4 linked regions of the Arabidopsis thaliana genome follow. The protein of the gene in region 2 interacts with the protein of the main gene of each other region in a pairwise test. Each region holds a gene or a part of one and is shown on either strand. Other genes may lie near its edges. The genes, in order: ATU2AF35A, AT5G46710, AGL36 and AT2G18090.

Region 1 (7,629 bases), on a different chromosome or scaffold from region 2:
GATCCAAGTAACAAAGTTTGGTTATGAGGTTACTCAGTTGGAAAGCCAACAACGAAACTCATTTTGTGTTGTTTAAATGGAGGCAGTTACGTATAGCTACTAGAGATGGAAATGATGATCTCCAAGGCTTTTTTTTTTTACTTTTTCCAAGTGGAATAATTGTTGAAGCTGCAGGAACCACCACCAAGGTCAGCTAGAAAAAATAAATAAATACCCAAAATAATTTACAAAGGAGTACATGACATGAAACCATTCATCACTCTTTGTCATGATGACGTCAAGTCCCTCCGGAAGAAGCTGAACTAAGTTACGATATACTGAAATGTGAAATCAATGTATATCATGTTTTAAATGCTTTAGTTTTCTGGCTTAATATTGATAAGTGACTTTAAAACTATGTGTTTTGAGTCAAAGGGTAATGAATTTACTTGAATTTTCTCTTTTCATTTTGATTAATTAAAGAGTTCTCCCTTGAATTAAAAAATTATGTTTCTCCGGCTAAACGATATTTCTAGATATCTGCCATGTATTGACTTATAAGCGTGTTTTAAGGTCGAAGTCACTATATCGGAACACTAGAGAAAGTCCGACATAATTTCAATTCCATAACCATCAGAGACATTCAATGAAAGGAGGGGATAACTATTACAATCAATAGTAAGTAGAGATAGAGCAAAAAAATTATGCAAGAGATAATAACTTGGCAAGGTGCTAGTTGATTGTCATTATTAGCATATAGAAGAGGCGGCGAACTTTTATTGGTTGTTACATAATATGTGTCGTGCAATGTAATTTGTGTTATTGGTTTTGGAAAGAACATGCTTCATATTCTGATGTTATGGTTGGCTGTTTTTTTTTTTTTTTGGTTGAAATGAACGCTTTTAGAAGAGCGAAGAACTCATTTTATACATAAATGATTCCTTATCTAGTGTGACTCAAAAGTGCAATAAGTTACGAAAATGAGTATTGTACTGTTGATAAAGCTGTCACCAATTCGATCGCATCTAAAAAGAATGTTTAATTAATTAACTAATTAATAGTGTGGAAAACAACTAACTTAATCGATCAATTAGTTAGTTCATAATAATTCACAAGTATAAAAGAAATGAAAAATAGATCAACCAGATATAAAAAGAGAGCAACAAGACTCACATCAGAAGAAAGGCACGTTGGAGAATGTGTTGAGATCAAAAAGAGTATGGGAAAAACTTTGTTTTCACTTTTTATGTTTCTTTCTCGTCTCTACTTGCACGCTCACATATCTCACCTTCTTTATATTCTTGTTATGTTTCTAATATTTAAAACAAATTTATGTATTCCAATATCTATTTTATTTTGTAGCAGTAATCTGGATCTAATTCGATTAATCTCGAAGATGAACGAACTCTTGTTGAACAAGCTTATCATGTACAATAACTCCTAACCCGAGCACGAATGGCCCATGCACAACTTAATTATTCGTCAAGAGAATCAAAAATAGAGTCTCTTCGAATTTACGTCCTGAAATTCTAGAGTGTCATCAAGCCCTATACCTAACTAACCACGCGGATTGTCAGAGTATCTACTTGCATCAATAAAATTTTTATTGTAATGTGTCTATTTGTATATTTGATTGTCCTTGGAATCATTATATGGAGCCAAACTAATAGATACAATATGCAAAATATAGAAACTAAGGTTGCACTAATTACGTCCATGGTCTCATTTATAACAAACTACCTGATGACCACTTAGATACACCATATGTACCGGAAGATTAAGAAATGATGGGCTCCCTCTATCCATTATCCAACTTGACCTTAGATCTTAAAAAACTATATTGTGTTAATCTATTATATTTTGTGTCTCTTTTTAAAAGTTCTGTAAGAAATTTAAGTATTAATTTCAAAAGTATAGTATTAGGTGTAGGAGCTAAATTTGTTTTACATCTGTTACCAATCAGGGTTCAATCATCCAATCGCTTTCATAACACATCACTTTATAAGTATAATTAACGAAGTCTTTGCTTCAAATTATTTATGATTTTATTAAACTATAAAATTGATAAATATAAATTAATATGTAGAGGAATATATAGAAAATAATATTTGAAGATTTAAGTAATAAATATCAATGGTATTAATTAGATGTAGTAATACTAATAGTAATGGTATATAAAGCAAAGTTTGTTTTCAGTTTTTGTTTGTCAATTAGTGTACACATCATTGAGTTGCTATTACTGGTTGGCACAAAAAAATTCGTGTGCTGATCATTTTTTCTTTTACTTGAAATTTATAACCAAAGTCTACTAGACCACCTAGGTGCCATGCTTCTCAACACTTGAAGCTTTGATCTTTACATTTACTTTTTCTCAATGTTTTGAACTTTTAATAATATATAACTCTACAATCTTCCTTTTTTGTATTATTATAACTGCTTTGATTCATTCTCTTTTACTTAATGGGATACTCATTTGATTCATATAACATAAGCACAAAAAAGAGATGAAGAGAAATATTTATATCTGTCTACTATGACGAGTTTTCAATTAAACTACCAAAACATAACAAAATTGCATCCTTTGACAGGAAAGGCGATGCTAAGGCTATGTACTGACAATGGTTCATGATTAAATTGATTTCAAAAGAAATTAAAGATAGATAGTCGTAGTTGGTCAATCATAAATTATTTTTATGTTACGAAAAAATGAAAAGATAATCTCTTTTTGTTGGGGGTCAAATAGAAAAAAGTAGAGAACAAAGGCCTTAAAAGGAGGGTCCTAAAAAGTATGGGAAAGCATTATTATTTATTTTAAAGTTGTCTAAGAAGAGGACAAAGGCTTTAGAGCAGGGGAATATATGCTTTCTCAAATTTAGGGCATCACTGTCCAACAGACTTTCCCCATTCCTCATCTTTATATTTTCCTAACAATAACAAATTTAAGATCATATATTTCATTTTAGTATCATTATAATTCGATTTTCAGTTGCATAATGTATATAGAAACGCAGCAAGCTAGACACGTGCATGTGTTGTATTTGAGATTTTGAGGTATTATTATTACATGGAATTAATGTGACTTTATAACGCTGTTCAACAATCCATCTTTCACTATGTAGCTACGATCTTTCAGATTTCTAATTTTTGAACTTTGATATCTTGTATATTTTTGATGTAAGAAAACTTTTAAAAAGTTAACAAGATATCGTATGGGTTTTATTACTATAATATATCCACTCAAGCGAAGACGGCAAAGACTTCTCCACGTGGCCAATCTATTGAACTACTAATCTCCATAACTGAGAATTCATATGATAAAATTCCGTAAATATATATATATATATATATTATGTTAATTCAGACTATTCAGTCAATGTAAAGTAAGAATAAACAATGACATGTTTTGTTTGATGCTTTAGAAATGACACCGCCGTGTCAATGGGATGGGCTGTGGGTGTTGATGCTAGATCGGACGGATGTATTGGGGTGGTGTGACGGTGGTAGCGATATTTTAATGCATTGTAATTGATTAATTCTGAGTTTTTTAACTAAACATATATTTGTGAACATGTGTGGGACAAAAAAAAAAGTAATTAATTTATTGTGATTAGTGGTTTGACTCGTCATCACAATTAGAACAATGGTTTGGCCGTTTGGGAGTTATGAGTTATATGACCATTTGAATATTCTGTCCAGAAGAACCACAACGATCACTGAAGAGGGACTCGACGACGCCTACAAGCCAAAATGACCTTCATGATTTTATGGTTTAGGGTTGATGTATATTGCATTGTCGACTTCTGTTATATATTCCGCTATATTATACATCTTTTTACTCATATGGAGTATTTTATGCATATATGTATTCATTGCGTGAATTAGACAAACAGCTTATGAAGTAATTTTGGAAAGTATATAGGTCTAGTAAGCTACATATTTGGCATGACCAATTGGAAGCCAGTATGTTTGAAAAATGGCAACCAAGACTAACCCATTCGATAACTGGTTTAGAAAAAGACTTAACTTCTGACGTGTTTGGAACACAAATCAATGCAATCAAAGGCCCAAAGTGTTTGCCCCTTATCTTTGTCTAAAATTCTGAGGTGCTTTGACCCGAATTAGTGCCACAACTGAACCATGACACAGAAACTCGTTAGTATTCCCAAGCATTGAAGAACAATAGACAACTTCGAATTAAACTAGAACTCTTTTAAGTTTTAACCAACAGAAGATAGTACAAAGTTCTAAAGAACACTGGTGAAAATCAATAACAAGGGGACAGAGCGGTTTTTCCTAATCAAAACTACAAGAAAGTAACCCCAAACATTTTATAATCTAAAGAAGTTGATTCCACTCATTTCAAGTTCCAAATTAGAACAGCCAAATGAAAAATCCATCACCAGATTTTACCGATTTCAGAATAAACGCAGAGAAGCAGACGCAGAAACCACATAGCAGCAATTGTGATTTGAGTAAACAACTGTTTTTATGCTCCTCCCTCTTCCTTCTCCTCCCGTTCTCTGTTCCATTGCTCAATCCTTGCCCTCCTCTCCTCACTTCCTTCCCTCCCGCCACCCGGGCTCCCTCCTCGTTTAGGGCTTGCTTGTCTCCTACCCCTTGAACCGTCCCTCTCTTGCCTCTCCGACCTCTCACTGCTCCTTTTTCCACTTCCATGACGGTAAAACTCGCGATCTCTGTCCCGATGACTGAATTCCCTGTGAGAAGGATCACGTCGGTCATTATCTCTCTTGTTCCTGGGGCTAATACTCCTGCTTCTGCTCCTGCTTCTACTTCCTCTGCGGTATGATCGCCGATATCTCCCAAAGAGTTTTCTCCTTAGTTCCCTCGAAACAAGCTTCACATGCATGAAATTACAGTACCCACCACGGTTGCAGTTGTTTTCTTCATACTGCCTACACGTGGCTTCGCGGAAATCCGTCACAGGAGAGAAATCAGCAATGATGGGACGTCCTGAATAGAACCTACCTTGCAGAGCCTGCAAAGCAGCTGCAGCCTGATCCTCTTCCTTAAACTGAACATATACGTTGCCAATCATGTGGTCAGCAAGGTTGTCACAAATGTTGAGGCTCTCTATCTCGCCAAACTTTCCAAGCTCCTCAAAAAGATCCTCAAAGAAATCCTCAAAGTGCTCCTGAATCTTACGCGGGTCGAGTGGTTGGCCCTGAGCGTCAACACCAGGGGTAATCATGTCAGGCCTTTGGTACATGTTTGAAAGAAGGAGTGTTGGGGAGATGGTAGGACGGTTGTGAAGACGCGAGCACCGGTCACCATGACGGCAAGCGCCAATCTTGAAGTAGAAAGGGCAATTCACTCTGTCTTTCTCAGTACCAAAGATTGAAGCCAAATGCTCCGCCATGGCAGAATTTCCACCCTGAGTTTAAGAAATCAGTCATTGAACAAGATATTTAGCAACATATAGACATAAATTGAAAAGAGATTGGTAGATATCAAAAACATCAACAAGAAACTAAATTATGTTACGAAAGCGAAAAGATTGAGCAACTATTGAAGATAAAAGGCAGAGATCTTAGTCAGCTATTGAATTCAATGGAAAAAAGAACAAAGAATCACACATAGATATAACCAAATAACCAGAGACATATGGATATAAAATCGGAAACAGAGCAATACAAAAGAAAAGCAGAGATAGAGAAACACACAAAGGAGCCAAATAAACACAGAGACGAAGCAGTGCTCCAAAATAGAGCTGGGAGGCACAGAGACCGAGCCGTAATAGATCACAAAAGCGAAGAAAGAGAGAGAGAAAGCGTACAGAATGTTACAGAGATGAGTGGGATTGAGAGATCTGAGGGTGAGTGGTCGCCGCCGGTGGAAGGAATTACCGACGAGGAGCTGCCGTCTCACTCGCCGATGGATGATCTAGGGTTTGCTTTGTTCGCGAGTTGGGGGAGAAAGACAGAGAGACAGAGAATGGGATCTCCTGACATAAGGATTTATATTTTTAATCCGATAAAAAAGATAATAATAATGGAAACTAGAATCCGGTTTGGTCTAGAATGGAAACCAAGCGGTTTTGGTTCTTGACCGGTTTATACGATCGGTATAAGCTAGGTGTAGTTAATTGAACCGGTTAATTACTTATCCGATCGGTATAAGCTTGATCATATGATGATTGTGTTCGTCTCAAGTCTCAACTCAACACAGACCTAATAGCACTTCATCAAAAACCAAATTACTTAACAATGAGAGAATTAGTCAAAATCAAAACAACTTTAAACTTTTTAAAGAAACCAAAAACATAGATTCCAGATATACAAACGATATAAAGTCAGCTAGTATTATAACATGTGAATGGGACACTTCTATACATAATCTCTCTCTATCGAGAACAGAGACCAAGAATCTCGAGAGAATCCACTTTGGTCATACATGAGACGCTTAACTTAGACAGAAGCACCTCACTCGGATCTCTATATAATGCTACACTGCCTCTCTCATGAGTCTCTACGGAAATCTTTTATTGCTAAACCAACTCAAGACTCTAAGAGAGATTACATCTTCATGCTGCTCAACAATGGCTCACCAGATGCCAGCCTGTCTATAGGACTGCAAAGGGTAGCTGTGAAACGGATAAGCTCTAGCCATATGGACCGGCTTTACGGCTGCAGGTATTGCCCAACTTAACTCTCTTCTTGGAGGTGGAGGTGGAGGTGGCATATTCCTCCTTCTGTCCACTTCTATCAGTGTGCACATCTCCTGGATTACCTCTGTCACCATAATGAAAACATCCAATTATTTTTAATCAACCGCTAAAATCAATAGCAGCACATCTCTTCGTTCAGGCCACTACCTAATTCCAAACTCAATATGTGCACAGGGTAAGAACCTAACATGAGCTGGAGCTACAGTACCACATATTCCTAGCGCTAACATTATAGAAACACTACATCTCACTTGATCAAATGACTGCAATAATACCAGAGGAAAAAATAGAGTTTGAACAGCAAACCTTTTAATAGCTTAGTTGTAACTCCAAACTCCAACCACCAATCTCTCCTGCTGCCTACTTTCGCATTCTGAAACGTAGCAGCTAGGTGCACAGTGGCTGTTGCAATAACATGGGGTTTGTACTGCAAGCATAGTGTGGTTCGAATCCTACACACAATGCATAATAAGATTCAAACTCAATGTAGGGGAAAAATCGGGCAGATATTATTAACAAGGGTCTTTACCAGTCATGCACAAAATTCCATGCAGCTGTTGCAAGGTCAGGCCAAGCGTTCAGTCTATTCAAAGCCGCAGCCAGAGGTTTGTAGGGAAGTTCAATGTCTAAATGGAAAGCACTTGTGCTCAGCAGAAGACTTTCCCCGGACAAAATAATTTCTTTAAATTCATGATAACACTCCTACAGGCAGAGCAACATGTAATAAATTAGCAAAATGCACAGTGCGAATTTACCAATACATAGATGTATGTATACACTTACAGTTTGATGGATTCTAATTGAGGCAGAAGGATCCCACTCATAAATTATTTCATAAGACGCTACAACGACACTGGACAGTTGACATGGCTCATCTTCAGCTTTGCAAGCGAGGAACAGACTGGAAGTCGCTATTGTCTGCAAAATCACCGAGTGAGAAACCGAAGTGGAAATATTTAGCAGCA
Region 2 (7,887 bases):
ACGTAGAAGTTCTCGTGTATAACCAAGTTCGGAAAAGTAGACTTATGTGAGTTCATGTAGAAGTTCCAATCTAACATAAACGCAAAGGTTTTCAATAACACATGAGAACAAAAAAAAAAACAAGAGACGAATGTTTTGAGCCTTTAGAATGCTAGATCGGTTATTGCTTCTGGTAATTCTTTTTTTTTTTTTGTTCACCTACTTCTTGCAATTCTTACTAGAGATTTTTTCTGGTTAATTTTCGAAGATTGTTTTTTATGCGAATTGTTAGTTTTTAAGCTTTAAATTTAATCATTATAAGCTGTTCATAATTTTCTAAAAGCATAAATGTTATCGAAATGTTGAAAAATAATGAAATTTAACTATCTAGATATCTTCAAATTAAGAAATATGTGTGTAAATTATTATTATATTGTTTAATTTATTAAATACTTATCTTTTACTCACCTTAAATACAGTAATGATAAGAAGAGCATAAGAAAACTAGACACTTAGCGTATTTGTAAATTTGTGTGTCATTTACTCATCTTCCCAAAATTTTCTTATGATTAACTCATTAAATCAACATTATCTTGTACTCACATTTGGTAATCAAAATTGAAAACCAATACACTAATTTTAAAATATACTTTCAAAAGTGTAATAATATATAGCTTTGATTGTTTTCTCTTTTAAGATAGATAAAGTCAATATACCTAATTTAAGAAATGATAAATCCACCTTTTTCTCAAATAGTTACTTCTTTTTCATATAAGCTTTATTCAGTTTCACACATGTAAATCTGTCTCTCTCTCTCAATTATTACCATTACCCTAAATCCCATCAAACCAAAAACATATTTATAAAACATTAATCACTTTTCACACATGTGAATCTTTTTCTTTTTCTGTCTCTCTTTAAGTTCAATTCTATTTCTCTCTCTATTTCAAACCAAACAGATTTCAAGAACACAAAAACAGAGTTAAAACTCTCATCTCTCCCAAAAAAGATGCCTTTAAGCAACAATGTAATTGGTTGCATAAACTTCATCACCGTCCTCCTCTCCATTCCGGTCATCGGCGCCGGAATCTGGCTAGCCATAGGAACAGTAAACTCATGCGTCAAGCTTCTTCAATGGCCAGTAATAATCCTCGGAGTCTTAATCCTCTTAGTGGGTCTCGCTGGTTTCATTGGAGGGTTTTGGAGAATCACATGGCTTCTTGTTGTTTACTTAATCGCCATGCTTATTCTCATTGTACTTTTGGGTTGCCTTGTCGGATTTATTTACATGGTTACCATAAGAGGCTCTGGTCATCCAGAACCAAGTAGAGCTTATCTTGAGTATAGTCTTCAAGATTTCTCTGGTTGGTTACGTAGAAGAGTTCAGAGATCTTATAAATGGGAAAGGATTCGTACTTGTTTGAGTACAACTACCATTTGCCCTGAACTAAATCAGAGATACACTTTGGCTCAAGATTTCTTCAATGCTCATCTTGATCCCATTCAAGTAAGTATCCTCTTCCCATTTTATTCAAATACATTTTCAATTTTTCTCTGTTGTTTTGTTGCTTGTAATTGTTAATTAGTTTTTGCATTAAGTTTGTTAATTAGTGGAAGAAAATTAGGGTGTAAAATGAATATGAGAAAGTATGGGGTGAAAATTTAATGGCTATGAAAAGAAAAGGGGTGGTAATGAAATGTAGATAGAATTGGTGCTTTGCTTGTTAGGTTTGTCGCTTAAAAGACTCAGAAATATATTCTTTTGATTAGAAAAAAAAGCTGAAAATTCAGTTGAAGATTATTACATCGAGTTCAAATTTAGGGTGTAAATTGAATAGATAAAAAGTACAGGGGGAAATCGAATGGCCATGAAAAGAACAGGTGGATTGGTAATGAAATTATAAATTAGAAATGATTCTTAGCTTATTATAGGCTTTGTGGGAACCAAAAACTGGAAAAGTTTAACCTTTTAATAAAATAATATAAAACGTCCCAACTTTCTAGATTCTTCCACTATGTGCACTTAATCAGTCACGCCGAACTACTTTTTTGGCCCCAATATTTTATATTATTTAAATTTAACCCCATTTCTTTACTTTCAGTCTGGTTGCTGCAAGCCCCCAACAAAATGTGGATTCACATTTGTTAATCCTACTTATTGGATAAGTCCCATAGATATGTCTGCTGATATGGATTGTCTAAATTGGAGCAATGACCAAAACACTTTGTGTTACACTTGTGATTCTTGTAAAGCCGGCTTGCTCGCAAATATTAAGGTAGATTGGTTAAAAGCGGATATCTTTCTACTCTTGGCGCTTATCGGATTGATTATCGTCTACATTATCGGGTGCTGCGCATTCCGTAATGCGGAAACTGAGGATATTTTCAGGAAGTACAAGCAGGGTTATACTTGATCAAGATGAGAAGTTTAGTGGCAAAACTGCGAGGAATTTTAATATTTACTGGATTCCTGTATTTTAGTTTCTCTACGTTTTGGCCCCTGTAGTATGTTTTTGTGTGAACTACCTGAACATTCGTTGTAACTGGAAGATTATGTTGTATATCTATCTTTGATTTGGGTTTGTGAAACTTAACTAATTATCTATTTTTGTCATATAATCTAATCAAAAACAAAATTTAGAACAAGGAAATAGTCATAAAAACACCATAAACCACTCACTGTCTAGTCTCATTGCATCACACCAAAACTTTACAAGAAGATATTGTATATATATATATACACTTACTAGTTGTTTGACTAATCCATAGCACTACGTAACACAAGCTTCTTCTTCTTTTTCTTGATCACAATCTCAACTAAATGGAGCTCGGTGAGGAATTCCCTTCCTTAGTCGCTTTCGCAGAGAACGAGGAGGAAATTGAGGTGTAGGTGGACTGAGACTCTGCAGATTTGAATTACCATTCTCTGCTCCAGAACTGTTATTCTCCACTCCAGAACTGTTGTTTGAATTATCTGAGTCATTCGTTGTATGCTTCACTCTCTTCTGGAAGACTCCAGATGTTCCTGCAACCTTTTGATTCAATCACCACAAAAACACAGATAAGAAGTTTATCAGAAGAAAGACTCTTTCCAATATTTTAGCAAGTCAAAAGCTTCAAACTTTTCTACTGTAATTAACTAGAAGTAACCACAAAACAAGGGAGGTAATGGATGCTTAACGTGTGAAGATAATTGGAGTGTAAGTAGGTAAATGTACCTTGCAGCCAATAGAGCAGAAGCGGAAGCAGTTTTCGGCAAGGCCACGATAACAGACCATGCAGGCATTAGTAAAACCTTTACCAGGCTTAGACTGAGGCCTCTCATTCAAGAACAAAACCTTTGAGCTATTGATCACATATGTCTGAATGCTTGATATGTCTAAGTATTTCTGTATCTCATCGACCTTTGTCACATTATGATAAGATGATATCCTTATCTGCAGCAAACCAACAACTTCTTAACATTCAAAACCTGAATTAAACAATACGAGAACTTTGGATTCAGAGATGAAACACACCTGAATGGTACGATGATTCTCGTGTTCAGAAAGACAGAGAGAACAAAACGAGTCATTGGTACAGTCTAAGCAATACATTTTGCATTCGGTTCTAGGTAAGTGTCCATGAAACTTGCATTGAGCAAAAAAGTGTTGGTTTAGTAAAGGTTTGAGCCATATAGGCCACTGATTCTCTCCTTCCTGCAAACACAACATAACTCATGAGCCATTGTCCCAAAAGAACTCAAAAAACAAAAAAAAAAACAGTTGGCTTTTTAACCTACCAGAGACACCATTGTCTTATACATTATCAAAAAAGTCTCCTCCTTTACATAGACTTGAGGAGACTCTAATGGTTTATTTTATAATCTTGCAACCAAAGATAATAATGAATCCACAAATTCGTCTTGCAGAATATATTCTGTTTTTTATAAATTTTTATAAAAACAGAAGCAAATTTGAAGGGCGATAAGTACGGAATCGAATATTAAGCCGTGAATCTAGTTCGATAAAGATCCTAATTTTTTATCACAAGATTCTTCTTCTTCTTCAACATTTTCCCCCAATTTAAAACCCTAATCTAACAACTACATTATTCAAGCATTGTTCTTTGTGACATTAGAAAATTAAGTATTGTTCTTTACACCAAAACAGAGCATTTTCAATAAGTACTCGAATTTGACCATCTGACAACAAAAATTAGGGAAAATCCACAAAACTCTCTTGTTTCTAGTGGAAAATCTCAATTCAATCAAAACCCATATCTTAGAATCGAAAAATAAGGAGTAGAAGATTCGTATGAACACAAAGGGCATACAATGTAAACAGAGGATATAACAATGAGAAAACAGAGTTTCAACAATGTGATAATGTAGAAAAGGGTTTATGGTTAGACTTACCATGAATCTTCTGTTCTTAGGTTTGATTTCTCGATTTGGGTTCTCGTAATCTTCAATCGCCATTTCAAAATGCAGTAAAAGACCCAACCTTTTTTGAGTCAGCACCAAAACTTTTTTACCTAAAAAGGAGGGTTTTAGAGAGATAAAGGGTTTAAGAAAGTGAAAGAGAGAGAGATTGGTTTTCTTGCAGAGAAAGAGTTTTAGAGAGAAGAAGACGAAGCGAAAAGCAATGAGAAAGAGTCCTACTTATCCTACCAATGTCGACAATGTATAATATTTCCGAACCTAATCCCGAACCAGCCCCGAGCCTAAGAAGAAGCGTTGGGTTCAAGGAACCCTCTTGGAATTTTCTAATTTTATTTGATTATTTCCTTTTTTTTGGTATTTTAAAAATATCTTTCTGTCCTTCTTTGGTCTTATCTCTCTCTCTTTCACTATTATTTTTCCACCAAAAATATTAATCAATTTCGTCAAATTTTATTCCTTTTTTGGTTTTTCTTTTCACAAAAAGTATGTATTATAAACTATTATATAGTCATCACATTAATTGGTTGTGAGAGACTTATAACTATTTCCATTTTCCATTGCTGAAAAGTTCTGATATTTTAATATATTTTTAAAAAAGTATATTTATTGTGTTTAGAAAGTTATTGCTCCATTATTGCAATTTGATATCTCATATCTACCATTTGATTTAGTGTTAAAATCAAAATTTGACAAAAGGTCTTCAATTTACAAAAACTAGATTTTAGCATTTTATTAAAAATATATATTTTTATCATTCGCCATATCAATAAATTCTCGTAAAATCAAAACACTATGTCTCATGCATAAACTTAGTCGGTTCAGTTTATTTAGATCGGTGTAATCAATTTTTTGGTTTATTCGGGTTAAAAATTTGTCACCGAAATAGAAAATAGTTGAAATTGGTTAAAAAAAAAACAAAAACTATCGGTACAGAAAATATATGAATTTGGTTTGCAGCAGAAATATGAGAAAACATAGCAAAAAAGATTTACAAGGCCAAATACTCTACAAACTGGTCTGTTTTAATTGCTACAGTCTCGGGTCAGTGGCAAGATCGAATGGAGAGTTTCATTGCTCGTTATGTTTTCCATGCTACGATGTATATGATATGGCGAAAAAGACCAAGAGTAAAAACCAAGAGTTTTTCAGTGTGGAAGAAGATATTGCTATTTATCAATTTGCTGTTTCTTACTTTGCACTACCTTGTTTCTATTTTTAGGTATTGTTCTATCGGTTGTAATGAATCTTTTGCTGGAGAAAAAAATTCTTTAGTGGGAAGAGAAACAAATCATTCTGACAATGGCGCAAAATAGTATTGACCAATATACGCTTCTTACTTCAGCTGAATTAGTATTTTTGAACCAAAAAAATATATGCTGAATTAATATCATCAACCTTCACGTTTTGATTTGATCTTTCTTTTCCGTATTTTTATTTAGTTATTTTATTTTGAAAATCAACAGCTAATTATGTAAAAGAGCGTATACTATATTACTAGATAGTTTTTCCGCACTATGTACAAGATAAAATGATTATTAAATAAATGTATTATAGTAAATTAGAACATTTATGGATTATTATTTAAAATCTGAAGTTTATTTGTGTATAATGTAATGTAATATACCTTTTTATTTTATCTGAACCAACAATTTTTTACATAGAAATAATTGTTACCATACATTGATTATTATTAATATCTTTGTTAACATATATTTTTATGTTTATATAAAAAAATGAAGGTAGTTATATATTAAGTTCTGAAATATTAGTTGCTTAATTATTAGGTTGTTTTAGTTAGAGTTTAGTTTTTAATTATTTACTAATTTTAATTAGAAATTGTTTTTTATTTTTATGTTGTTGAGATATTTATATCTAATAATAATGAAAAATTTTGTAAGTAAATTAAGAAATAATGGATAATGAATCAAGTTTGTTAAGAATTGCTCTAATTGCGATACGTCAATATGACATCTGCGTACATACCAAGATAGCTAAAAGTTAATTTCTTAAGTGCATTTCTCTATTAATATATAGGGGATATTATTATTTGATTATATCTTTTGATCAAAACGTTATTATATTTCCTCACCAAAAAAAAAACGTTATTATAATTTCTTAACAAAAAAAAAATAAGAAGCGTATTAATTCAGCAATATTATATTTTTTATTTAGTTATTACACGTTATTATATTGTTAGTTGTAACATTTTTCTCTTAATGATATCCAATCTGACTATAACAAAATTAATTATCCGGTAACCTAACCTCTCACACAAATGTGACAGTGATGCAAAGCTATCTTTGTATAAGTTAATTCCTATTACATCATTTATGCTTTTATACACAAAAATGCGTATTTAATGACTTTTGTTATATGCTTACTCATAAGTATGAGTTGGAAAGAATGTGATGCAAACAACGGACCGATGTTGTATCCTTGTATGCATAGTACGTTGAGCTAGAGCTACAAAGAGAGATAAGCTTCTTAATTGGGAGAATTTAACCTAATACATTTATGTTTTGCTCACTAATTTAATCAAATCAGGAGGAGATTACTGCACAAATCTAGGTTTAAAGATGAGTGATTACGCAATACCCTTTTGTGTTTAGTGTTTGATTTTTGTTGATGTTTCTATTTAAATTCATTAATTAGGAAAGCTAAGTTGCGAAGTCAATACTAACTATTCCTATCATGCATCACCTGAAAGGGAAGTTGTGTTTAAACTAATACCTTCATTGATGTAATACAATTTTAATAACTAATTTTGTATGTTGCAATCAAATTTTGTAGGTGGCAATTTAATATTCTTGCTAAAGAAACTAATTTTCTAGGTTGCAACCAAAACAAACCAACCTGAAAACATTGATTAGGAAAATAGCTAAAGTTATGTTCTGTTTCATTTTCATTTTTGCTAAACTAATTAAAAAAGAGAGAAATAAGGAAAAACAAAATCAAGTTTATGAAAACGTTTGGTTAATATGAATTATGGATAACAATAAATTATAAAATAAATGATATACTTAAAAACAAGAAGGTAAAAAATATGAATTTAAGATTGTATTTTAATTTTCATGGTTTTTGTATCCTATGTTAAAAGCTAACAAAACTATTATCGAGCATAATAACAAAATATAATGGATAAATGGACTGGCTTTGGCTTATAGAAAAAAATCTAGATACCGTACATAGGATATACAATATTGAAATAAAAGTGAAGCAATGAGACACGGCACGCCATATCTGACCCAGAAATATCCATCCTTTCCCACACACTTTTGTATTATTTTGTTTTATTACCTTATGGAACCAATCCAAATTATTGCCTCCGCAACTTTTAATTTTAATACTTTTTATAACCATACAATGAACCGAAGAAATGGACTTAGTGTAACATAAATTCAGCATCAAATCAATGTAATTTTCTACTTCAATCAGTTAATGAAGATTTTTTTTGCTAAATTTAGTGAAACTATAATATGTGAAGC
Region 3 (7,077 bases), 9.6 Mb from region 2:
TTTGTATCCACTTTATAGAGATGTAATAAATCATTAATCAGAGTTAAGTTCGACCTTTGTATGAATATTAATGGAAGCAACTACAAATAGCAACAAAAATGTAATAGAGATTTTGGTTCATGACATGTGGCTAAAGAAAAGAAAGATAATTTGTTTCATGGATATATTGTTCTTTTTAATATTTAGCACCCAATTTCAATTTTTTTCGTTTTAACATCCGACTAATTTTGAGAATATACATGCTCCTTTTAAGAAAAATTAGTGAATCTATAACAGTAAAAAATTAGAAATTAATAAAGCTTAACCTCTATAAATTAATAATATCGAAATTATGATATTTCAATATTTATACAGTTATTAATTTATTAATTAAATGATCTTAAACACTTATTAGGGATCAAAGATTTTAATCTATCGAGTATTAATTTATATAATTATTACTACACCCAAATAACCAAGTGCCGCATGCTTAGAGTTTACATACTGTAAAAATAAAATCTTGAGTTGTACCAAATTTATATAATTAGTTCTTAATTTAACGTAGCCATTTGAGTTTCGGCCCAAGTGGTCAGAGGAAAGGTGTGATAGTTAACTTTACCAAATTATTATTTTTGGATATTATGAGGTGTTTTGGGCCTTAATCACTTGGCTAATCTCTTTAGGGTGAGTGTAGGATCGATTAGCCCACTCACCGAGTTTTTTAATGAGTACTTAAATCACGCTCCTCTCCCTTACCTCTGCCATATCTTTTAGAGAGGGAAAGCTTCTTTTTATGACATTGATCAGATTGTAAAATAGATTTCTTTGTTTTGTCTCTTCCAAATCATATCTTAGATCTATAGCTTAGGTTTAGTGACTTGTTGTTGTTCATCTCTGTATTTGTTTCGGACAATAAAATTCCAACTAAGATCGGATCTGTTTTGTTCTCTTCTTTCTACATACATAAACTCAAATCGCCGCAGCTATTGGTTAGATCCTCTTTGTTCACCGTCAGCTCAACTCTTCTTATATATATACGAGAGTAATATCTCCACATGTTTATCCATGGATATAGGCCTATTACGGCCAAAGGCGAAGCTTCCTACTATAGGAGCAGATTGAGATTATGAAGATTTGTTTTTTCTCGATCTACTTCAAGATGGATTCGATGGGGTTCTCTCGACTTTAGCAACGGGCAGCGCTGTAGAAGAGGAGCGGTGGTGGATCTGAAGTCTGGCGGCGGAGCTGCGCTGATCGTGGATTTGGCTAGCTACGTTTGTGTCATCTCATCTCCTTCTCGCGTGTGGACACGTATACCGCACGTAACACTTTTTTAATCTCGTCCTTATCTTTAAATTTTAGTAGGATAAATAGACTTCAATTTAAATTGAAGTTGTAAACGCTGGTGGTTTGGGCTTTTTTCATCATCTATATAACTCAATGGGCTTTTCATTTTTATGAAAATGATCTTGTGGACAAAAAAAATGAAAAAATAAAAATAATGAGACCATAAATCATAGCACTATTTGCAACTAAACCTAATTAAATTTACTAATAATTTTATAACAAAATACAAACAAAAATTTATCAAATTATTACCCTCGATTTTTTAACATAATTTAAAATAACACGAGATGATTAATATTTGCACAAGCAAACAAACATGTAATGAAAACCCAGAAAAACTAAATCTTCACAATATGCAGGAGCAGGCTATATAAAAGACTAATGATATATTTGTTTTGACATTAAGAAAACAGTTAGATTTTATGCTGAATATTATCACATACACATATATACTGTAATCAATGCTGTGATGGTGTGTAGATGTATTTTTTGCAAGTTTTTTCTTATCAAAAGATATTTTTTTCCTAAAACAGTATTTAGGTGATTTACACAGCTCTCTAGTATTATCTTATATAGTTATACATTTTTGTTATAATGGAAAGACTAAAAACTACCCACACTTTTTTTCTTTCTACATTTTTCTTCACAAAATAAAGTCATGGAAAGTCATGAAAATTAGGAACCAATAACACCCCCTTAGAGTCTAACTGGTGCAAAATTTGGAAGAACAAATTTTCTACCTAATTTTTTTGAGCCCAAAAGAATGGGAACAATGTTTAAAAAATTGACCTAGGCACTGATCGATATAGGCTCAAGGCTTCTATCGAAAGCCTAACTAGCGCCTAACGATTTTTTTAACATTGAATAAGAGTAGTTCTTTTTTTTTTGTTATCAAATAATTTTTTTCGAAAAGAATAAGAGATTATTGTTGCTTTTGCCATTTTTCATAGAATTTTTTTGAAATTGTAATTTTTACTAAAATCTTATGGATATGCCATTTTCTAACACTAAAAAAAGTATGTATTTCCGATTTTTTTGGTAAAAATACGTAGTTTATACAAAATATTAAATCCTAAGAACAAGCACAACCGACTAAACCAAAACATAACGAATAAAACACATGTTAAATCATATTTTCGTAGTGTGAAAAAGGCAAAATCTACAAACTATTCAGAAAAGGACAAAATCCACAGATACCATCCCAAAAAATGGCAAATCGATAATTGATTCAAAGAATAATAGTTCTTACTTTAAATTGCTGGGGAAAACAATTATTCTCTATGTATGGGTCCTAAAAGAATTCAATTGAAAATTTCCGTCTAAATATTGTACCAGTCACATCTTAAATTTTCGAAATAAAATTCTACAATTAAAGTTTCCCACACTACGGTGAGCAAATACATTACTTAATAATCTTTTTTTGGGGGCAAAACATTACTTAATAATCAAAATACATAATTAAGTTAAAAAGAGATCCTTTAACCATTATTAATAAACAACATTAGTTTTTGTCTTTCGAAATGAAGAAAACACAAATACAAACAATTGAACACTTAGACTAGTTCTTCTCCCTCTTTTGTGATTAGAGATTATTGTTGATGTAAGGATCATAGACACCGGTGGTGGAAGGCATGTAACTGGTGGAAGCATGATCAACGGCTGGTAGTTGATTGGATGGTAGTTGATGGTAGTTGTAGCAGTTTCCGTCCACGAAAGGAATGCTTTCACGCCCTCCAACATGATTCATATGTTGTTCCACCATCGGATTCATGAATGATTGTTGTTGATTCAGATACTGATTCGAATTCAGATTCAAATTCAGATTCAAATTTATGTTGTAGAATTCTCGTTGAATCTGATTAAACAGATTATTAGGAGCCTGGTATTGAACCTGATTCATATTCTGATTTTGAAAAAAATCACAAACGTTAGTAGGAACAAGGTGTTGAAACGGTTCATGCAGATTTTGACTCATATTCATATTTTCATATGGAATATGATCAAAAAATCTACTGGAAGCAGTTACCGCAGTTGCGTCCGCATCAAGAAAAGGAGTCATATCGCCCGTAAGAACATGAGGATTGGTAGCATTAAGAGTATCTACAACCCCAGTTGTAGCATGAATAGGAGAGTCGGAAAATGACTCATCACCAATTTCGTCAACACCAATTCTAGTAGGAAAAGGAGAGACGGAAGACAACAACGACTCACCATTTTCTTTAATGGACTCGATCCTTCCGTTAAGCTGATCGAGATATAGATTTATACAAGATTGCAAATCTTGAAGGTCTTTTGCATCATAATGATACTGGGACATTTTGCCTTCAACACAATCAAACATAAATCGTCTAACCTGTAACTCTCGGTTCTCAGCAGCCAGGTTCTTTAGTTGCTCTTTTGCTTTGGTAATCCTCTCCATAAGGTAAGTCTCTTGATCCATCATCTTCTTGGTTCGGGCTGTCGGCGGCATCTCCAGAAACCTTGAAGCCACCTTTTTAGCACCTTCCCTTGACGGCCATGACTCTGGAACCGGTATGAATGGACTGTAGATGAGAGCACAAGCTTGGACACCACACAGAGTTGACAACTCGTGGAGTTTCTTAAAAATCCCGTCTTTCCTCTTTATGAAGGATGTTTTCCTTGATCTTTCATTAGCTATCAAAGATAGCTTCACCTTCTTCATCCCCATCAATTTGTTTTTTTTTTTTGTTTTGTGTGGTTTGTTTAATTTGTTTGCTCAAAGGATGTTTATATAGCAAAGAAAGGTGATTCTATAGACACTAGGATTCTTATCACTTTGGTGGACTAATTAATTCTAAATAACATCCAGGAAATCTCTTATCAATTAATTGACCAGGTAATTCATTATTATCTATATAAAAATATTTTTTCTTATCCAAAGTTTGGTACGTCTGATCCTAAATAATATCTGATGACAAAAAAAAGAAAAAAATCTATCCATGTAATACGAGGGGGCATGTAATATAATATTTTGTATTTCTAAGTTTTGTTTTTATTTTGGCGAATTAATTTCTCTTACTCTCATTGTTTCTTTTTACTAAGAATAATTTCTAGCTTACTTTGTTCTTAAAATATGAAGTTTTGCAATAGTTTTAAGTGATTGTACTTTTAAAATACAGTAATATATTGTCAATGTATATAGAATTGTGGTAAGCTAGAAATTACTCTAAAGTTTGTTATCTAAAGTAAATTTCAGAAAGTTTGTTATCTACAGTAATTTAAAGATGTACTCTGAATCATACAAATAAATTTTTAGAATGGGCAAACAACTTGGAAAATATGCAAAGTACATCTCACAGAAACGCCAAAAACTTTGAATAATTGGTATGAATGCCCTTTCAACACAATCCCTTTTCAGTATTGCCCTTTCTTATTTGTTATTTTCATTTATACCCTTTTTTAATTTTTAATGACTATTTACCCCTATTTAAAATATGTTTTAGGTAAAAAAATGAAATATTGATTTTTCCCGCCTATAATATTCTGAAAAAAATTTTCCGCCAAAAAATTTCAAAAAAACATTTTCTGCCATAATATTTGTTTTAAAAAAGATTTTTCCCGCAAAAAACAAATTTCGCAGGAAATAGATTTACAATGGATTTTAATAGATTTTTAAAATGTGTAAAAGGGTTTTAAAATATTTATAAGGGATTTTAAGAGATTTTTATAAAGTGTAAAAGGTTTTAAAAAGATTTACAAAGGATTTTAAAAGATTTTTATAGGGTTTTAAAAGATTTACAAGTGATTTTAAAAGATTTGAAAAGGGTTTTAAAAGATTTACATGTGTTTTTAAAGATTAACAAAGATTTTTAAAATAATTTTCTAGAACTTTAAAATGGTTCAAAAATTATTAAAGGGTTTACATGAGATTTTAAAAGATTTTTAATGGTTTACAAGGGTTTTTAAAACATTTTGTAAGGGGTTCATAAGAGTTTAAAATGGTTCAAAAATTATTAAGGGTTTTTAAAAGATTTTTATATGGTTTTTAAATAGTTTTCAAGGGTTTTAAAGGATTTAACAAGGATTTTTACAACATTTACAAATGTTTTTAAAATCCTTGTAAATCTTTTAAACACTCTTGTAAATCTTTTAAAATTATTGTAAAAGGTTTTAAAATGTAAAACAAAAGGTTTTAAAACGGGTTTTTAAAGTATTTACATATATATTTAAAATTTTTATAAAGATTTTAATAGGTTTTAAAATGATTTACAAGGGTTTTTAACAAATTTACAAAGCTTTTAAAAACCTTTACAAAGATTTTTAAATGCATGTTTTTAGCTGGAAAAACATTTGTTACAGAGAAAAAAAAATGGCGGGAAAAAAATTTGGCGGAAAAAAAAATATTTTGGTAGAATTTTTTTTTGTCAGGGAAAAAATAAATTCGGCGGGAAAATTTCAGTTCATAAATTACATGTTTCTCATTAGATGTGGGTAATTTGTTTGTTTTGCTCAAGAGAAAGAGTATTTTTAAAAATGGACTACATATAAGGGTAAAATCAAGAGTTTAATACATTAATATGACTACATGTATTTATTTATTAATAATGACATATAAAAAATTATTTATGAAAATTATTTTTATTTAGAAAATATATGCATAATTTGGGTAAAATCAAGAGTTTAATACATAAATATGATTTTTGTCTTTTTTTTTATTTGTAAAATTATAATTTATAAAATCATGTGGATATTATATCTTTTGGGGCATTGACCCGATATTATATATTTTTCATTGCACTTTTAGAAATAAATTTTACCAGCTAATAATGAAGAGTAATTTAGCTGGCATTACCCTATTTTTGATCTTATTAATATCCCTAAAATAAATAGCTTTATGTAGACATGAGAGAATTGGTAAGAAAATATGATCCAATCATAGCTTTGGAACCCACATTTCAGAATTTTGGAATGCTTTTATTAATTATCAAGATAAAAGCATACAATTTCAATAATATAATATCTTAGATTGTAGAAAAGTTTTGGTAGAGGTTTGTTATCCGCTTGAAAAGAGATTTGTGTAAATGTCAAATTGAAAACTATTTGAAAGAACGAATTCTGTTTTTTAAGAGTTGCGATTTTTGCGAACCCAAGTTTAGATGTATTAAATAAATAATTTAGAAGTACATATATGAATTTTTGGTGTTTTCTTAACTTATTAACAAACAATTATTTGTTCTAAAATAATTAAGATTGTGAATAGTGACCTAGAAGACTATTATATTATAAGAAATATAATTAAAATTCTTTACTTTAATATGATGATTATTAGGCTATTATGACTTTATAAGCAACGTTATAGAGTTGATAAAATGAGAATGAAGACATGGTCTATGTTTTTAACTTCGAGCGTTATGATTAGGGGTGTCAAAATGGGTCAGAATTCATGGGTCAACTCAACTCAACTCAACCCATGATTCCTAATTAGTTGAAATTTTTGACTCAAATGAGTTGATGGGTCAAATGAGTTATTGGGTCAATTGGTTTGATGAGTAAAATGAGTTGGGTTGTAATGGTTAATGGTTTCAATGGTTTACCCAATTAACCCATCAAATTTTGTAAAATTGAATTAAACCAAATAAAATCTCTAAACCAATATCAATTTAAGTTTAACCAACACATCTAAACCAATTTAAGAAAATCAATATTTTTCCAAATTTCTTAAATATACAAGAGATGAAATTGAGAAGACGTAAACTCGTAATTTATCCACCAAAAAACAGAAATCCGTAA
Region 4 (9,601 bases), on a different chromosome or scaffold from region 2:
TTATCATCACTTTGATTCATTTTATTTCTTAAAGGAATCTAAAACTGATTCTACTTTTTATTTACCTCCAAAAGATGCTGCAACAGCAACAGAACCAGCAACAGTTCCGGCAGCCTCAGCAGCTGCAGCAAACCCACTGGCTCCAATTACCGGAACTATTGTGCCTAGAGTTGGAGCCAATGCACCGAACCCTGCAGCTATTGCTGGAGCAGCCAATCCTGTTTCACATAATATGTAATCAAAACAGATTAAGAATTAGCATTTTCCAAACACATACTCTTAATTTTCTAAACGTTGGAAGAGATATTAACAGTTAGAAGACATCATACCACCAGTGATGGCCATCAATGTACCCCCTGTTAAAGCAGCCGCTCCAACTATGCCTCCACGTTTCCACTTAGCCCATTCACTATTTGGTGACAAAGACTCTTCTTCCTTATTTCCACTTGACTTTTGCAATGCCATGGCAGAGCATGCAGACATTGTCTCAACTGCTTCCTAGAAAATACAGAAATTGATTCTCAGGTCAATCCAAATGCACAAAACAGAGAATCCTAAATATCCCAATGTCATCAGATCCTAAATCCTCAACAAGATAGCTAACATGTAACTATAGGGTTGCTATGCTATGTGGTAGCATAAAATTTACAAAATAATTTGAATGAATGAAGCAAACAGACCATTTTAATCCACTGAAAGTCAAACCAAGTAGCAAGTAACCGCAGAGCAACATGGTGACGCGCATCATAGCCTTTCCTACGCCGTGTACATATCTCATTCTCCTCATGTTTATCTGCCAAGCAAGCAGATAGTAGCTCGTAAAGAACATTTATCTTTCTCTCATGGCTAAGCAATGCTACTTCCCCAACAGGTTTCTCATGTTCAACAATCCCAAGATTGTGGCCTCCATCTCTAATTTCACCCTCCCCGTGGCTCTCCGTTTCCTTAACCTCAGCACCAGACTGTGCCTCGGGAACAGAATACTTGTCGCGGCATTCGTTTTCGAATTCCACATGTTTCTCCATCTTAGATTCCACAGATAGAGAGCTGCTTCGAATGTTTTGATCCATAGCATCAGCAGCTTTAGCTAAGGCGGTCTCTTTCTCCACCATTTCACTAGAATCATCATCATCATCACTCACATCCTCTGAGAGTAACTTGATAAACTACAATAAACCAAAAGTAACATCCAATAAAGAAGAGCTCCTCAACATTCACAACGAAATTTCAAAATACGGAGAGAAATTAATCATACCGCACCGATGTGATCCTTAGCCTGAGTAGAAGCAGCTATCTCTTCAAGGCCATGCCAAGCTGATGAATCAATCTGAAGACATCTGAAAGCAAATTACAGAGACAGCTCAAAATGTATACATTACACACACAGAGACGCATATGAACATGACTATTCCAGATGATTTCAAGATCACCTGAGAACAGGACGGAGGAGGCCGGAAACTTCGTGGACCCAGAGATCCGCCTCATCGGAGATAGGATCACTGTCGCTGCTGATTGGCTCTCCGGTACTTCCGGTGGCCGGGATTCCCAATGGCTTTGACTGGCTGATCTGCGCTTGGTTAAGCGCGATTGCAAACAAAGCGCTTGCCGCGTATCTCTGCGACGGCGTCAAATTTGACGTAGCTTCCACCATCAACTCAGATCAACAAAAACGAAATCGAAGAAACAACAAAAAGTTTCCAAATCCAGAAACGATCAATAGAGTTCGTCTCATTTTCCAAAAACAAGTAGAATAAACTGGAGCCTACACTTGTCATGATATAAATAGATTTGAAACATTCAAAACAAAAAGAATGAAACGTTACACTATCATTATCATATATATAGAATAATAAGATGATATGATCCCTACAAATGTTTTGATTACATCCATGGACAACAATTTCTTCCCATTTTTATACTTGTTCCTAAGTACAAACAATGTAAAAAAAAAAGATACAGAAGTTGGGTATGTCTGTGCAAATCTTAACACAGGACAACGTTACAAAACCTAAATACTGAAGAAAACAATGGGTGCAGTCAAAAATACCGCGAAGAAACATCTTCTACATATGCACCACTCGTTTTTTTTCATTTTTGCTGATGATTCTGCCATTTATTTATGTTCTGTAATAATCCTGCAAAAAAAAAGAGAAGAAAGAGGGCATAGTCCACCATCGATCAGACGAATCTAGGACATTGGATGATCTATGGTAACCTGTGCCCCAGGTTATGATTTCTCTCTATGTGAACCCGAGCCCACGACTAAAAATGCACGGTGCTGTTAGATCGTGAATGCATTTGAAGATCGTTTGTGGAGCTCATGGAGTCACCTTTGCTTACATCTAGTGCTGGGCTATGTCCTTCTGCGGGACTGAAGCTATCGTTTATTGAGTGCCGGATTAATAATTCTTCAGGACCACGGAATGTCGAAGTTGGAGAAGGAAGACGTTTTTGGGACTCCATGGCTTCCACTTCTGCCAAAAGATCTGAGACTGATTCGTCGCATTCGTCAGGTCCAGCCACAATGGGTTGCCAATCAGTGGTAGTAGATGCAAAGTTGAATTTGAAAGTTGGACTAAAGAGATCTAAAAAGTCTATTTCTTGATTGTCTGGGAAAGACGTCAAACCCGAGTTCGAATCCCACACATTTGAAGCACTGCTTGGAGTTGCAGCATTCCAGTTCTGTCCACATGACTGGACTGTAGCCGTGACTTGTTTCTCAGCTGAGCCGCTAAGACTACCGTTTTGATTGCAAGCAGTCGTTGCTGCACTGTTTCCATCTGTCTGACCAGCACTCCATCTTTCATGTGGTGGCAGAGAGCAGTTTGAGTTTCTAGGTAATGTAGCCAGCGAGAGTGAACAGCTTATTGGGCTTTGTACAAGCAAAGAACTTTCAACTTTTCTTTTGTCCCAGAGAGAGATAAAACCCACAGTATCCCTTTCATTAGAAAGAGAAAAATCCAATGGCACGGCGTGGCTACAATTGTTTCCGCTTTTGTTACTCACATCCGAGCTCCTTGTGATGACACTGTTACTGCTAGAAATAACACTCTGGTCAGTGCACACTGAGTTGGGGCTGAAGTCAAGTATTCTACTCTCTATTTTAGGAACAGCCACAGACCTGTTTTGATCGTTAGCTATAGTAGCTGTCACTTCCTGCTTGGGGATAGAATGATTCTGTAATAACCCTGTTTTATGGAACTGCCCATTTAATGCGTCAGTCAAAAGTATGGAGCTGTGTTGCTGTTCACCCAACCTCCATATTCTCAGCTCTGGTGGGAAATGCCCGCTTGAATTCCATTGTCGCAGGTTATATAACGAAAATGGTCCATGAATCTTCCCATCTGGATCTCCATATAACCATACCATATTTGTATCCAAACCATCAATTGGCTTATTGGACAGAGTGGCACTTGTGTCAGGTTTTACAACTGCATGGTTTCTGCTATCAGAACTGGAAGGTCTAACTTGAATACTGTGCCCGTTCAATTGCTGTGATTCCCCTTCTTGATGCTGTTCAGATGTATTTAACCTATCACAGCTTCTGCCCGCATTAACCTGGTAAGACATAGTTTCAGTGACTCCTCCGGCTGAATTATCTGTGACTGGAGACCTAACTTGATCGATGAAGTGAGAATCAAGAAGCTTTAACATTTCCAAGTTGTCCACTCGCTCCTTTCCAAACAATCTCATAAGCTTGGAGTCACACATTATTTCAGAATTCTGAGGAGAGTTTTGTAGATTATTCCGTCTCACATACTCTAGCACGAGAGTTTGGACATCATACTTTGATAAGACAGAAATATCACCGTTTTTCATATACCCCACAAAGTCCAAAAGCTCATTGGTTGCCCAAGTAGCAGCACTAGTCAATTGTGGAAGTCTGTCACCCAAAGAACAGTTTGAATCCAAAGAAGGACCCAAATTACTCACAGAAACAGCATCCATTTTCCTTACTTTAGCACGACGTATTTTCATAACCCCAGGAGAATTTCCATCATCCTTTTCATGAACCCGACTAGTAGTTCTTCGCTTAGCGGCAGTAGAAGAAGAAGATTTCCATGGATTTTTTGCTTTGGTAAGATCATCTAACGATAAACCTAGCTTTTCTTTAAGAGAAACCCAGTAAATCTTAAAAAGATACTCCCAGCTGCCTTGATCATCAAAATCAACCTGAACCTAGAAAATGTACATGTAATACATTTAGCTAGAAGAAAGAATCCACATTAAAAAAACAAAGCGACATTACAAGAACAGACCTCAAGTTCCACAAATAACCTTGTAGTACTGCGAGTAAGAGAAAGTAACAAAATGTAGACAGGATTCTCATACCTTTTCTTTGTTAGCTTCAGCTGCATTCTCAATAAGCATTATAGTCTTCATACAAATTCCACAGAATCCTTTGTTCTCCCTTACAACTACATACTCTGAGCTTCTAACACACCTCTTACAAACTGAATACGGACAAGTATAACACATGTAGAACGAATCCTTTTGACAAGTAGTACATATGTGCCAACCTGAAACCAAAAAACCATCCTCATCACTATGAACCATCTCAAAGAAGAGAAAACAGATAAAAATTGAACAACTTACCACAATTCCATTTAGATCTCGATCTGAAGAATGCTTCAGTACGCTTAACACAAGCTGGGTGATAAGCCTTTGGACATCCCCTGACAAATTAAGAAAGAATCATCATCAGTCACAAGTAAAAGTTTCTATTTTTACAAGTAGGAATGTAATGGAGCTGGGAGAGTAACTTGTCTAAGCTCAAAACTTCACTAACCTACGATCGCAGAGAACAAGACTACCACCATCGAAGCAAACAAAGCAAACATCTTCATCTTCTCTTCTCTTCCTCGAAATCGGAGGCGAAGAAGCTTTAGCTAAAATTCTCGGCGGACGACCACGTCTACCTCTCTTCTTCAAAGAATCGGAATCTTCTTCGTCTAACTTCACATCCGAATCTAACGGAACACCACCACCATCGAAGAATCCCGGAGGAGAAGAAGAAGAATCATCTAATTTAACATCGGAAACACAATGATCGACTCTCATAAGATCGATTTCCGGCATCGATTCGTTGTTGGCTCCTCGTGAAGCCAAAGAACACTTTTTTTTTGCTTCTCAGCTCAACAAAAAGACAAGAACGAGGAAGCGGAAGATCTGAGGTTTTAAAAAAAGAAGGGAAGGTGAAGCAATCGTGGAAACCCTAACCCTAGGGTTTGGAGGAGAATTGGGAATTGGAGAAGGGAGGGAGGAGGAGGTGGAGGAGATGGTGGCGTGTAAGGAGAGAAGACACAGTGGGCACATGGAAAATGGACTTACTCGTTACTCGCCAAAAGCAAGAGAGAGAGAGATGTGACAAGGCAGTGTTTGGTTGTCTGTCTCCTTTTTTTGACTTTCTAGAGAGAGAAAGAAACAACACGCTTTTTTTTTGTTGTCTAAACGCCGCGCATATGGCTGGTTCCACGTGGGCAAAGTTGAGGCTGGTGGGAGCCACTCGCGTCTTTTCCCATAAAATAAACTATTATTATTTTTAATTTTTATTATTTTTTTAACAGAGAATCTTGTTACCACTAAAAATATATATAGGTGACTAAGCTACAAGATGCAAAAAAATCACGAGGCATTAGAAAAAATTGATCTCTGAGTTAGAGGAGTATTTTCAAATTTATATTTTAAGTAATTTAAGATTCATAATGATTTATTAATTTTTAATATGATTTTAGGTAAATTTAGAGAAATTTATGATTTGTTGTAGTCTGGTTCCCCAAATTCTACATAAAAGAATTACATTTGTGTTTTTTAATTTTATCTAAAATTTTTTTCTAAAATTCTATAAGAAATTATTCAATTATATATTTTATAAAAAAAAACTTCAATTTTTCAAATATCTTAATCCTGTCTTTCTACATTGTCGTAAAAATTAGATAAACTATGGTTAAAATTAAAACACAAAATTTTACAAAATCTCTCATAATCAACTTCGACATCATACAAACATCAGAGAATTTCGCTATAATAAATTAGAATTCGTCAATTTAGGTTTTTTACTTTGACAATTTTAGAGTTTAGGTTTGATGATTTATAATTTTATTGAAGAACATCATGTTATTTTTGTTTACAATTTGTGTTGTATAAGTTTATATATCTTTTTCAATATAAATATAGTTTGTCCAATTTCATGATAATTTTTAAAAAGGGAAATTTGTATTAACATATTTGAAATTGAGGAATTTTTTCACTATACACCCTTAAAAACTAATGATATGAATATTTTCAATAATAGTGGAATTAAAATTATTATTCAAATTATTAGTTCAATAATATTTGATTTTAGAAGATTCTTAAAATATAATTGATTGACATAAAAATTTGTTATCGTAATATATATTATTTTAAATATTATTATTTTTGTATATTTATAAAAAAATTCCACAGCTCGAATTAAACTCTTAACCCCACCATTTGTTTATTTTTATTTGCGTCGATTTAGTGGGGGAGGCTTCGTGTCTTAGTCTAACACGGACTGTTATATTAATGTAATTTATTAGATATTATTTTTTGTTAAATAATAAAGTGGACCAAAGCGAAAATGAAATTGAACTACTTTTTTTTTTTCTTATGTGCAAGATGTCGTGGTCGTAGTTTCTTGCTTTGGTCTTCTACTCGCTACCTAACCATATATCTTATCTTTAATTCTCATTTCGAGATCTTCTTTCTCTTAAAAGAAAAAAAAAATCAGCTATTAATTAGTTGACAAACTTTTATATAAAATAAACGAAGTGGACATAACGATTCAAGACTCAATACTTTATTAAAGTTGCAATGATTTCTAGCAGGATAATGTTTTATAACTAAGATTAACTGATTTTTTAGAGTTTTGTTTCATTTTTTTTTTTATAACAATAATCTTTTCCAATAGTACAAAACGACACTTGCAAAACATGAGTGTTAAAGAAACACTATGAAGTGATAGAAGATAGACCTAATAATATTAATGCGTTCTGGTCTCTAGTCTCTAGTAAGCTTTTATAGGACAAATCCATGGTAAAAGGTCAAGATTTATACGTACAACCGACTAATCTTATAGTTGATATGTCGATCGACGACGAAAAAAGATGAACATGTCACGTTTAAATATTATATGTAGTGAGCTGAAATCAAATTATAGTACATAAAACAATGAAAAATCGATTGGTATATAATATATAATTCGTGATCACATACAAACATATTATCAAACTGAAGTAATCCATTGATCATAGGTCGATGTGACATGAGCTATCTCACTAGATTGTCATTGTTAAACGTATTTATCAATATACAATATATAGGATCACACATGCAGTTTTACGTGAACAAAACAGCTTTGACTTCGAATGATAGAGATCAGAGGATTTTATCAAAATAAAATATTTAACAAAACAATACCGGCAATTTTTAATTTTAACTAATGGAACTAGTTTAATAAAACCAGGTGATATTTTGTTACAAATTAAAACCCAGAAAACAAATTTAATTTCCTTGTGAATTTGTTCAAGAAATTCAGGTGGTTTTTTTTGGGTGAAAACAAATGGTAAAATTAACATTAAAGCTCCAGTACGAAATACGAAAAATTTATTTACCTCTATTTGTTTTGGTTTGGGAGTAAAATGAATATGAAACTTAGCCTTTCGTTTTGGTTGCAACCGATGATAATCAAGATGAAAAATATGTTTTTTGAAAGAGGAAAGATGAATAATATTCATAATAATATTAAGCTAAGCCTTTTAGCTAGAATGAGAAACTTAATTTTATTAGTTTATAAAGAAAATTATATTTTTAGTTTTTTTTTATCAAACTGATAATTTTTATTAAAATTAAATCTCAAACTCAGTAAAAAAAGAAGAAATACAACCCAAATAAAAGAGAAATACAGTATAACCTCTATAAATTAATATTCGATAAATTAATAACTTCTATAAATTAATAAATTTTTCTGGTTCCGAGTTGGGACTAGTGTAAAAATTGATACAAATCGATAAATTAATAAGATAATAAAATTTTTGAAAATTCTATGTAAATATATGGTCCCATCAATATTTTAAATTAATAACTGTATAAATTTATGAATATATATATTTATATTTATGAATATATATTATGTAAAGCTTAGTAAAATATGACTTTCGTATTGTTTTATTTTAATTTATATTAGTTCTTTGTAAAATTAAATTCTAATAATTTTACTACGTATAAAAAAGTTTTTTTTTGTTTTTAAATCTAATAATGGTTTTCTACTCGTAATAATTTTTAGAAAAATTATTGATTGTATAGAAAAACTACCTTTTAGATCACATTTTTGTAAAAAATTACAAAATTTGTAAAATCTCTGCATAAATTAATACTTCTTTAAATTAATAAATTTTCTCGGTCCCGACATTATTAATTTATAGAGGTTTTACTGTACAAGATAACAAGACAAGAAAACCTAGAAATACTCCAAAAAAAATACATAAATGCAAGACACAACTTTACCAAAGAAAACAAACGAGATCGAAACATGACGATCCAAACGACTTCAGAAGAGACTGTATCCATTGCAACCCAAAAGATTACCAACTCCGCAACAAGAGCAGAGAAAGCTAACAACGGGGAGGAAGATCCATGCAATACCTTGAGCATTGGCAATTATTTTGTTGTCGATATAATTTAGGAATTGCAGTCTTTGTTTGTGGTTATGCTTCCTCATCTTAGCACCTATTGCCTGTTTCTTTTCCCAAAAGTTTTTTTTGTTTGGAGTGGTTTGGATTATCAAGCGTTTCGGAGAGACGATATTTAGTTCTAAACATACAAATTAACAAACAAATGAAAATCATTTCTCCATATATATTACTTGTCTTTTGGGAGAAAATCAGAAAAGAAATCGAACATTCGTGCAACAAGAACGAATTTAAATTCAACGCTCTTGCTTTTTTATAATAAAACATAAAATAATGAGATCCCAACAGTATAATTACTTATTTATTCCTCCGACATGGATTGACAAGAACCCACTCTATGACTATACGAAGTAATTTATTTTATCATCAACTATTATACGAAATTACGAAGTAATATATATATATATATATATATATATATATATATATATAGGCACAAGAATGAGTATTTATCATTGTAACCTTAAATATTTAGACGTTTGTTCTCCGCCCCATACTTCAACAGTCCACCTTTTACATGACTAAATAAGAAATTGTTAGAGAAAGGGGTGATTTTAATTTGCTAAAATTAACAATATTTTTTTTTTCCTCCAAAAGTGTTTCTCGAAATTTGTTACTCAAAACATTTTTTTAAATCTTTCATTTCGTGTTTTCCTTAAGTTTTATTGTTATTGAAGTTGTTTATTTCTTATTTTAGAGACTTAAGTGCGATTCCAATTAGCTTGCAAATTATTTTCTATTTGTTTTTTAATCTTGATGTTTTCCTATCTACATTTTTTCCATGAGAATTATGTTTGATCTATGATTGGGAATGTGAGGACAATAAAGAGAAACAGACGTCAGATGAACTTAAATTTAGATTTAAGGGGTTTGAACCCAATAGACTCGAG

Evidence for each region.
Region 1: the proteins of AT5G46710 (region 2) and ATU2AF35A interact in a two-hybrid assay, tested with the Arabidopsis thaliana proteins (one large-scale study listed by BioGRID).
Region 3: the proteins of AT5G46710 (region 2) and AGL36 interact in a two-hybrid assay, tested with the Arabidopsis thaliana proteins (one large-scale study listed by BioGRID).
Region 4: the proteins of AT5G46710 (region 2) and AT2G18090 interact in a two-hybrid assay, tested with the Arabidopsis thaliana proteins (one large-scale study listed by BioGRID).

Annotation. Positions count from the first base shown.
Region 1 is NC_003070.9:9,612,879-9,620,507, reverse strand, and holds ATU2AF35A (U2 snRNP auxiliary factor small subunit), read right to left. Parts: upstream 5,602-7,629; intron 5,372-5,601; 5' UTR 5,357-5,371; coding exon 4,466-5,356; 3' UTR 4,151-4,465; downstream 1-4,150. Other genes in the region: AT1G27640 (uncharacterized protein), read left to right, coding at 5,602-6,045; CYCT1;3 (cyclin T 1;3), read right to left, coding at 6,541-6,728, 6,971-7,116, 7,194-7,366, 7,448-7,582. UniProt on the Arabidopsis thaliana protein: Necessary for the splicing of pre-mRNA. Probably active at the 3' splice sites.
Region 2 is NC_003076.8:18,950,047-18,957,933, forward strand, and holds AT5G46710 (PLATZ transcription factor family protein), read right to left. Parts: upstream 4,647-7,887; 5' UTR 4,439-4,646; coding exon 4,376-4,438; intron 3,846-4,375; exon of another isoform or gene 3,693-3,845; coding exon of another isoform or gene 3,678-3,692; coding exon 3,498-3,677; intron 3,417-3,497; coding exon 3,198-3,416; coding exon of another isoform or gene 3,156-3,197; exon of another isoform or gene 3,012-3,155; coding exon 2,793-3,011; 3' UTR 2,557-2,792; downstream 1-2,556. Other genes in the region: TRN2 (Tetraspanin family protein), read left to right, coding at 989-1,486, 2,082-2,393.
Region 3 is NC_003076.8:9,340,717-9,347,793, reverse strand, and holds AGL36 (AGAMOUS-like 36), read right to left. Parts: upstream 4,010-7,077; coding exon 2,909-4,009; 3' UTR 2,783-2,908; downstream 1-2,782. UniProt on the Arabidopsis thaliana protein: Probable transcription factor.
Region 4 is NC_003071.7:7,859,979-7,869,579, reverse strand, and holds AT2G18090 (PHD finger family protein / SWIB complex BAF60b domain-containing protein / GYF domain-containing protein), read right to left. Parts: upstream 5,387-9,601; 5' UTR 5,080-5,386; coding exon 4,790-5,079; intron 4,677-4,789; coding exon 4,597-4,676; intron 4,521-4,596; coding exon 4,333-4,520; intron 4,180-4,332; coding exon 2,263-4,179; 3' UTR 1,760-2,262; downstream 1-1,759. Other genes in the region: AT2G18100 (transmembrane/coiled-coil protein (DUF726)), read right to left, coding at 66-218, 330-498, 681-1,166, 1,256-1,337, 1,431-1,651.